2 linked regions of the Oryzias latipes genome follow. The protein of the gene in region 1 interacts with the protein of each later gene in a pairwise test. Links are inferred from orthologs where the notes say so. Each region holds a gene or a part of one and is shown on either strand. Other genes may lie near its edges.

Region 1 (4,361 bases):
GGTTCAATCAGAGAATTGGAAAATATCATTTCTGACAGGAATAGATTTCGTTTGTTCAAACAATCTCTCCTACTAATTACCCAAATGGACAGGAGCTGTCAGGAGACAATAACTATTCCCTAATAGAATTTGCCCCCCAAGTGCAATTTAATTTTCTCCTCGGTGCTCCCTCCTCGGGTTTCCTCCTCGCCTTCCTGCCTCTCCCTCTCTCTGCTCTGGAGGCAAAAGCTTGGGGACTCTCGCTGCCATCCCTGCGAGGCTGTTTTCTCCCTGGAAGCCGGAGAGAAGCGGGGACCTGCTGCTGTTCCTCTGCGAACCCTGAGCACATCCTGCGGAAAAAAGGAGGAGGAGGAGGAGGAGGGAAAGGAGGTGGGAGGAGAGAGGCAACAAAATCAGCCATGATTAGGTAGGTCTGCGCGATGCCTACTGGTTCATCACGCATGTGGTAAAGTTCTGAGATGTGAATTTAAATAACTTCAATAACGAGCCTAAGAGGCCAAACAAATGTTGCACCAATGTGAGCGCAGATTTTTCGTTCCGGCTTGGATACGCGGGTCCAAATGCGCGCACACTGGAGCCCCGGGCTCTGTCAAACGTTCTGATTTGTCTGGTTGCGCGCGCAGTAGGGCCGCGTGGCGTCTTTAGGGCGTGCGGATGAAGGCGCAGTGTGTGTCTGGCTCAGTCAGACGGATCTGTGAATCGCGGATGTCAATGAACTGGTCCACTGAAATATTAGATCTAATTAGAGGTGGCTGGGTCAGCGCTGGTGGCAAAGGAGTCGCCCCCCGCTTGAAATATTGCCCAATAGCTGCTTCTCAACAAATTATTTCTCCTTTCGTCTCTGCGAGTATGAACCCAAACCTTTGAAATGATAGTTTTCCTCGTCAAATGATGAAATACAGGCCAAATCATTTGGCATGCAAGCAGTGACTGTTTCTGACCTTACAGATCAGTGGGGAGGTTTTTAATTCTAAAAAAGATGTCGTTTCTTGGACATGTCGTTTTGAAGATGAAAAAATAATCTGCATCCCATCATTATATGTCCCACATGTGCGTGCGCGCATCTGATCTCTTTCAGCTTTTTACATCCGTCAATTATTGTAATTGTGTTGCCCTTTTCTGACGAGTTAAGAGCATTTTTATCTGCGTTTTTTTCAGGGCAGCTTAAGGGGCCTCGATTACAACAATCAGAGTAATTGAAAAGTGAACTGGGTTGAATGATTTGGAGCGGGAAGGTGTGGAATGGAAATAAAATAGTGGGGGGACGCACTGATGAAGGCTGAAGAAGAGGAGAACCTCGTGGCAAAACGGCTACCTTGAAATCTGGAGTGGAATACACCTGTCGTCGTTTTAATCAGCTTGATGCGTTTTTACAAAATAAAATCCTAAGAATAGCTGCTGTGGGATTGAGAGTCTTGGTTTTATAATACCATAAAAGAATAAGTCCATATAGGAAACACGGTTGGCTTTGGATAAGGTAAATGGAATAAATCATGGCTGCAATTCTAGACATTTTTCATTTTATTAATGACAAAAAAGACAAGAATTCACTCTGGTGTGACCCATATTTGCGCTGCGTAAATCCGGAGAATCTGAGCGGAATCTGTTCCAAACGATTTTTTAATGCAAAAAAAACCCTTTGTTTTTATCAAATTGGCTAAATAATCCAGATGCGCCGTGACGTGCGCGTGCGCTTGTGTTTGGATCTGCAGACTGACTTGATGCAACAGCTTGTTTTGGAGGCGGCACAGCCTCGACAAACAGACTGCGCGCTTTTCTTTCCCTGCCTGAAGTAAATTGGAAGCGAAGATGGAGTTCATCTGGTCTGAACTTGCAGGCCTCCGGAGGGAATATGTTCCCGGCGAGTTCAGCCTCAGACGACGGGCTGCAAAATGAAGAGTGTCAGGAAGACTGCGCGTGGACTCCTAATCTTCATTCCTGTTTCTGCGCGGTCAGGAAGCGCGCACAGATGATGCTGACCCCGAATGTGTCAGAGAAAATGTTCCTTTCAGCTCCATCTGTTCAATTCTACAGGAAATGTAGCTTTAAAATGAGTCAAATTGACCTTTTTGGCCTTTTACTTGAAATGCCTTATTACTTCACCCGCTCACACATCAAAGTCTCACTCTGCACTTTGAGAACTGATTAAGGAAAAACCATCAGGGCCGCACAGACAGGACCTCAGACGATCCTCATTTTCCGACCTCTCCTCCTCCCCTCCGGATCGGCTCCTGCTGGCCCGGGGCCCCTCGTGAAGCCACTGCAGTGAGCTATTTCTGGTCTCCGTGAGCACGGTTCCCCCTCTCCTGAGACAGTTTTCATGGCCCACGTTCGACGCCTCTCCTCCTCTCCTTTCTCATCGTCGCCTGCACACCTATCCAGGATGCTTTCCGCCTCTGGGGCTTCCCCTTCTTGCGCTCCGATTGGCTCCATGTGAGGCTCTGGCGCGGTGACGTCATGCCCCACCGCCCCTGCAGCGCTGAATGGACCAAGCAGCCTTCTGATCCACTCCAAAAACAGCTCAGCACGGCGCGGCGCCGCACGGCACGGACATCCCTCTGGAAACGGAGGAATAATAGGGATTTGAGCCCACAGTGTGCAGGGTGGACACAGGCCTCAGCACCTTTTTTTGTTTTTAGCCCCCATACAGGGCAGGCCGGAGGAGTGGCGCGCGCGTCTGTATCCCGGTTTGGATCACAATGATGCAAAGTGCGGCGGTCCTGCCGACAGAGAGTCCCGTGAAGAGTTTACCGGAGATTCTCGGAGTGCCACTGCAACGTAAGACACCTTTCTGTCCTCCCCGCGTTTCTGCTGAGTGTCTGGCGGGAGCCGCGCGCGCTGTGGGGGTTTGCAGCATGGAGAGGGATTTATAAACGGGGAGACATTGAGGTGAAGAGACGGAAGTCCTGCAGGCCGGTGATGTGTCATGCTGTGAACACGCGGGCATCAAAAGTAGCTTTAGATGACCTTTTCCCGCCTTCTTCTGTCCCATTTAGCAGCCAATCGTCCTGACTGAGAACAACAAACGGCGCCATTTGATCCAGTCATATTGAATAAAATCAAAAGAATCATTTCTCTCTGTACTTTCATGTTCTCTGAGCTGTTAATTTGCAAACGAGCCTTCTTGGTCAGGAGATCAGACGCAGTTGTCATCATCAGCCATCAGACAAACGCTCTCTGACTTTGACTGACACTCATTGTTGGGTCAAATTAAAGGCCTCAGACGTTCAATTGGATCAGACAGCAGGCCTCAAACAAGTGCAACAATTACCAGGACTTGTTCAAATAAAGATTTCCAAGAGGTCATTACTGCGGATTTAGCAGCAAAGGTGAGAAATTCTTCACATCTGTTTGCTGTTTGTTAATCTGTGGGCAGCTGATGTTCGTCCTCTGACCTCATTATTCACCGGAAGGTTTGAATGTACAGATGGAAAAGAATCCACAGACACTGACAACCACGAGACTAAAATATTGATTTTAGAAAACACTGACTTCAAAAGATTAGAGAATATTCACAATTGCTTTAGTCAAATTTCATGTTTGCAAAATAATTCTGAATTGTATTGTTGTTGTTTCTTATGGAGGCTGCACAAATATGTGCCCAGCTCGTTCCAATCTGCACGTGCAGTCAGATTACTCGTCAATTTTAGATGCTGGATTCAGATTCTGCCACTCAGTCCCTGCAGCGCCGGGATTCATCGAGCCTGGATTATTTCAGGAATCAAACCGTACGGACCCCCCGACTCAGAACACCCGCATCCCAAACCAGAGGTGCGTTTATTCTCCAAAGGAGCAGCAGATGCTGCAGCCGGGTCTGAGCGCGTGCGCCTCCGCCACGTGAGCTGACGGGAGCGACGATGAGGAGTGGAGAGGTGGCAGCCGATAATCAGATAGGAAGGAGACCTCCCGAATCCACGCGCTCCTCTCCCCACACACGCGTGTGCGCGCACCCTGCACGCTGCCAATCCACGCGCTGCCAAGAATCGTGCTGCTGTCCTTTCAGCACCACTCCTCTCCGCCTCCCGAGCAGGCGCGTGGCTCCGGATGCCTCTCCGTCTGCGAAGGCCGGAGCTCGGATTCCCGCTCCCGCCCTTTCTCCTGTCTTCTGCGGCTCGCGCCAGTCCAGTTCCGCGGGTCTGCTCTTCCCGCCGCTGCAGTCACACCGAAACACCGGGACGTTTTCCGCAGCTTCAGCAATTTCATTTGAAAAACATGGACGGAGAGTCAGAATGGAGGGTTTTTCCCCACAGTTAAATGTAAATTTATCTTCGTATTTTAAAAATAAAAATCACATTTTAATGATAATTTATTACGATTTAAAAAAATATTTTCTCCAATTAAAAAAAGAAAGCTGTGTTTTT
Region 2 (4,538 bases), on another chromosome or scaffold:
AAAAATTAGGTACTCGGAAAGTTTTTTAATAAATGTGTGATTTTTGATCAATGCAGGGGATTCGCATAAAGAAATTGTTTATAGAATCTTCCTGTTAATTTAAGACATGTACATTCAGGATATTGCCCTCTCATCCTCTACTACCTTCTGAGGTGTTTCCCATTTTGACCTTGGGGTTTCCAGTTCCTATTCTGCACACATGTTCCTGTATATTATTCCAGCCACTTGATTGTGGCGCTCCATGTATGCTTTACCTGCCAGCATCTTACACCCTGCAGTTATGTGCTGGATTGTTTCAGGCGCCTCTTTGCACAGCCTACACCTTGGCTGTATATGTGGGTGTGTGGATAGATAGATATAGTCATGTGCTCAGTGAATGTCTCAGACAATGGAGAGCTGAGGATGCAGTGCTGGAGGACAGATCCTCATGGGAGGACAAACCCCTGCATGGGATGTACCACCGGACCATAACTGAAGTGGCGGATATCAAGAAGTCTTACTAATGGCTAGAAAGGGCTGGCCTACAGGACAGCACTGAAGCACTCATCTTAGCAGCTCAGGAACAAGCCCTGAGCACCAGAGCGATAGAGGCTCAGATCTACCACACCAGACAAGACCCAAGGTGTAGGCTGTGCAAAGAAGCGCCTGAAACAATCCAGCACATAACTGCAAGGTGTAAGATGCTGGCAGGTAAAGCATACATGGAGCGACACAACCAAGTGGCTGGAATAATATTCAGGAACATGTGTGCAGAATATGGACTGGAAACCCCAAAGTCAAAATGGGAAACACCTCTGAAGGTGGTAGAGAATGAAAGGGCAAAGATCCTGTAGGACTTCCAGATCCAGACTGATAGGATGGTAATGGCGAACCAACCAGACATTGTAGTGGTGGATAAAGAACAGAGGAAAGCTGTTGTGGTGGATGTGGCAGTGCCAAGTGATGGGAACATCAGGAAGAAGGAACATGAGAAACTGGAGAAATACCAGGGACTCAAAAGAACTGGAAAAAGCCTGGAAAGTGAAGGTGACAATGGTGCCTGTGGTAATTGGAGCACTCGGGGCAGTAATACCTGGAAAGACCTCAGACCTCTCAGTCCAGAAAAGCGCAGTGCTAGGAACAGCTAAGATACTGCGCAGGACCCTCAAGCTCCCATATAGATAGATAGATAGATAGATAGATAGATAGATAGATAGATAGATAGATAGATAGATAGATAGATAGATAGATAGATAGATAGATAGATAGATAGATAGATAGATAGATAGATAGATAGATAGATAGATAGATAGATAGATAAAAACAATGTGTAGAGAATAAATTTACCTAACATAAAAAAGAAATACGGTAAAAATAAACGAAATAAGAAATAGGGAAAAAAAATAACTTTAATTACTACAGTCTTGGAAAGCGTTTTAAAAAAATTGTTTTTTAAAAGTAGACTATTTAACAAACGTTATTATACATGCGAAGCATCAGAAGAGCAAAGACGGGGATAGTAAAACAAATACAAAAAAATAAAATAAAAAGACAGTAGGCGAGGAATTAAATTGTTATTACAGAGCACATTTGAGCGAATGACAACACAATGAAAATAGGGGAAAGTTCAGTGTATCGTCTCAAAATAAAGTTACACAAGCGTTTCAGCTGCACCGGAAGTTAGCCGGCAGACAGATGATGTAACACATAGAAAGTTCCGGATGAACCAAAGGTCGACATAAAACTCGCAAGCGACGTTGCGGCTCCAGATTATCGCGTCAGTTTTTCATCAAACGCACAGCTGTCCAACCTTAATATTTAGGTATGCCAAGAGGAAGCAGAAGCCGGACATCTAGGATGCCCGCCCCGGCCAGGTAACGATTTCTATTTAATAACTGGGATGAAAGGTGGTTAGATAGTGTGCTGCGTGGGATAGCGCAGGCTAAAATGTGCTAATAGTGTTTCAGTGTCAAATGTCTGTGGGAGCCTGCCAACAGAGTTGAGGATTATTTTAACACATTTAGTATCCTAAAATGCCCAAATCTGGAGATAAAAACGTCTATTTATGTTCAGACAGGATTGTTGAGGCAGGCCAAGAGTTTCTGACAAATGTAGTAAAGGTCAAAGTGTCAAACCTATGTATTTTAAAATTCAATTTTATAGAATGGTATAACAATACGTCATTAATGTTCATCTAAACTCATTGAAAGGTTGAGATGCTTTGCATTCATCCAAAAAATGAACTTTAATAATGTTCACAGTGTGAAAGTATCTCTATAATATAACACGTTTTAGTGACAGTTTACTACAAAACTTGGGAAGATTTTTCTTACGTAATTGGCTTCTTTAACCTTCAGTTACATAACTGTCCTGACAAAACCTCATCATGACCTCCAAAACCCACAACATCAACTCTGACACACAATTTTAGTGAGAAATGATCTCTCATTAGACCTAAGCGTAGACCTGAACAAGAGTGATCATGTCAACAACAATAACTCAAAAAATATTACTGTCCTGTAATTTTTAGGTACGGAACATGCCAACTTTGATATTTAAACTAAGGTTTACGCTTTACAGCCGGGCGCCACCATCCCCACCACCCATGGCCAGAGCAGCACCTCCTCCTTCCCACGCCCCTGTCCCAATGCAGGCTCCTCCATCCGCTGTGGGAGCACCGGCTGCTGCACCCAGGCAGCCGGGTATGTTTGCGCAGATGGCTACTACAGCAGCTGGGGTGGCAGTGGGCTCCGCGGTGGGACACACTATTGGCCACGCGTTGACTGGTGGGTTCGGTGGAGGACAGTCAGAACCAGCCAAGCCCGACATCACGTACCAGGTAAAAGGAAGAGCATCTGCCAAAGGACCAGAATAGTATCGGTAAAGATTAGGTTGTCTAACTCCTGGCAATGCCAGCCGTTCAGAGCTCAGCTCTAACAGGAAAAAAGGCAGTCAAATTTACAATTAAAATGTTGCTAAATCAGTTGGAATTTTAATTCATAAAATACAGTTTTGATCTGATTACATTGATTATTTACATGGTGTTATTGTCAAATTGAGACTAACTAAAGCCAAAGTATATATAACTTGGTTTTTTCTTTTTAGGTTTCATCATTTTATCATGTCAAAGATAAACTGAGCCTTTAAAGTAAACATTTTCTTTACATTAGCTCATAAAATACTTCTATATTTAATAGAAGCTGTTGTTGTATTTTTAACTGAATTTCATTTTAAAACATGTTTTACTCTAACTTGTTTTGAAAACAAATGCCCCTTTTTTCAAAATTATTGTCTCTAATCTTTCATTCTGTTTGTCAGGAGCAACATCAGCAGCAGCCACAGTCTTTCTACCAGCAAGAACAGCAGCAGCAGCAGCAGGTTTGCTCCTATGAGCTCAAACAGTTCATTGAGTGTGCACAGAACCAGAGCGACCTGAAGCTCTGTGAGGGATTCGGTGAAGTACTGAAACAATGCAGGTTTGCAAACGGTAAGCAAATGTGGAAATACATTTTGTAATAAATAAAAAAAAAGTAGATATGTACTAAGGGGTTGTTATATTTTTCATCCTCCTGTGTGTTCGATGTTTTGTAGTCTGGTTTTTCCTTTTTTATTTTTATTTTATGTAAGCTAAGCATGGGAAGACTTTCTGTTTTTTCAAAGATTTATTAGGTCCAAATTCTTTGTTGGAATTTGTCAGGGGTGATGGGAGTTGTAGTTTAAACCCGTTTTACTTATGTGATGCTGCACATTTAAAATGATAAAAATAAATGCATCTTAATGAAGTGTTTTCTTCTCCACAGGACTATGATGAGGTGAAGACAAAGCGCTGCAGAGAAGAGGAAGTCACAAATGTTATCAAAGTTTTAGCAGGGTATAATTATTAAGGGATCAATCAACAAAACAAGCTCATTATTTAACATTTGAGTTTCAAGCATCATTTGTGAAGACCGCTGCAGAGCTTAGAAAAATGTTTATATACTTTAGTGTTGTCATTTCCTCAGTTTGTAATTATGATGGGAGCTTGTGTTTCATTAGCATCCATGCTTTTAGTTTCTTCTCTGATACTTCAGACTCTGCAACATGAACCTGTAAGAACAAAAAGTTTGCATTTTCTGGATGAGCATTGCTCAAGGTTTGATTGTACCAGTAAAAAAATAAAGTTAAATCTAAACCTGATTTATTTCCTTGCCTCTTCAATCACACGTTGTGTTTCTTATTTTGGCCTGCTAGTTCTTTAAATAGAAACTAGGAGCTGTTACAACTCAGCGGTCCAGCAACTGTTGTGTCACTCCAGAACGGTGCACGTGCAGTAACCTGTCTCTGAATGCTAAAGGTGAGAAAAGGGACCGTCTTCTCACAGCATGGATCCCAGTTTTTGTTATGTTGATTCGCCTAGGCTGCCTGAGAAGCAGCCGTGTATTTTTGGCGTGTGACATTAAAGCTCGTCTTATACGACGTGGAAGCGGCCACCCCACACACGCGTGCAGCAGCAGTCGGAGCGGACCGGACTGGTTTTAATCTCTGCAGAGCGATCACACTAAGGATGAAAAGGATTTTTT

Evidence for each region.
Region 2: the proteins of lhx4 (region 1) and chchd2 interact in binary tests that used the Homo sapiens proteins (3 or more experiments, as listed by UniProt). The two-hybrid records come from large-scale screens. The link is inferred for Oryzias latipes from reciprocal best matches to the Homo sapiens genes LHX4 and CHCHD2.

What each region holds. Positions count from the first base shown.
Region 1 is NC_019862.2:32,187,319-32,191,679, forward strand, and holds the start of lhx4 (LIM/homeobox protein Lhx4), read left to right. Parts: upstream 1-1,400; 5' UTR 1,401-2,699; coding exon 2,700-2,778; intron 2,779-4,361. UniProt on the Homo sapiens protein: May play a critical role in the development of respiratory control mechanisms and in the normal growth and maturation of the lung. Binds preferentially to methylated DNA.
Region 2 is NC_019871.2:16,549,819-16,554,356, forward strand, and holds chchd2 (coiled-coil-helix-coiled-coil-helix domain-containing protein 2), read left to right. Parts: upstream 1-1,656; 5' UTR 1,657-1,803; coding exon 1,804-1,853; intron 1,854-2,559; coding exon 2,560-2,818; intron 2,819-3,297; coding exon 3,298-3,466; intron 3,467-3,779; coding exon 3,780-3,787; 3' UTR 3,788-4,155; downstream 4,156-4,538. UniProt on the Homo sapiens protein: Transcription factor. Binds to the oxygen responsive element of COX4I2 and activates its transcription under hypoxia conditions (4% oxygen), as well as normoxia conditions (20% oxygen).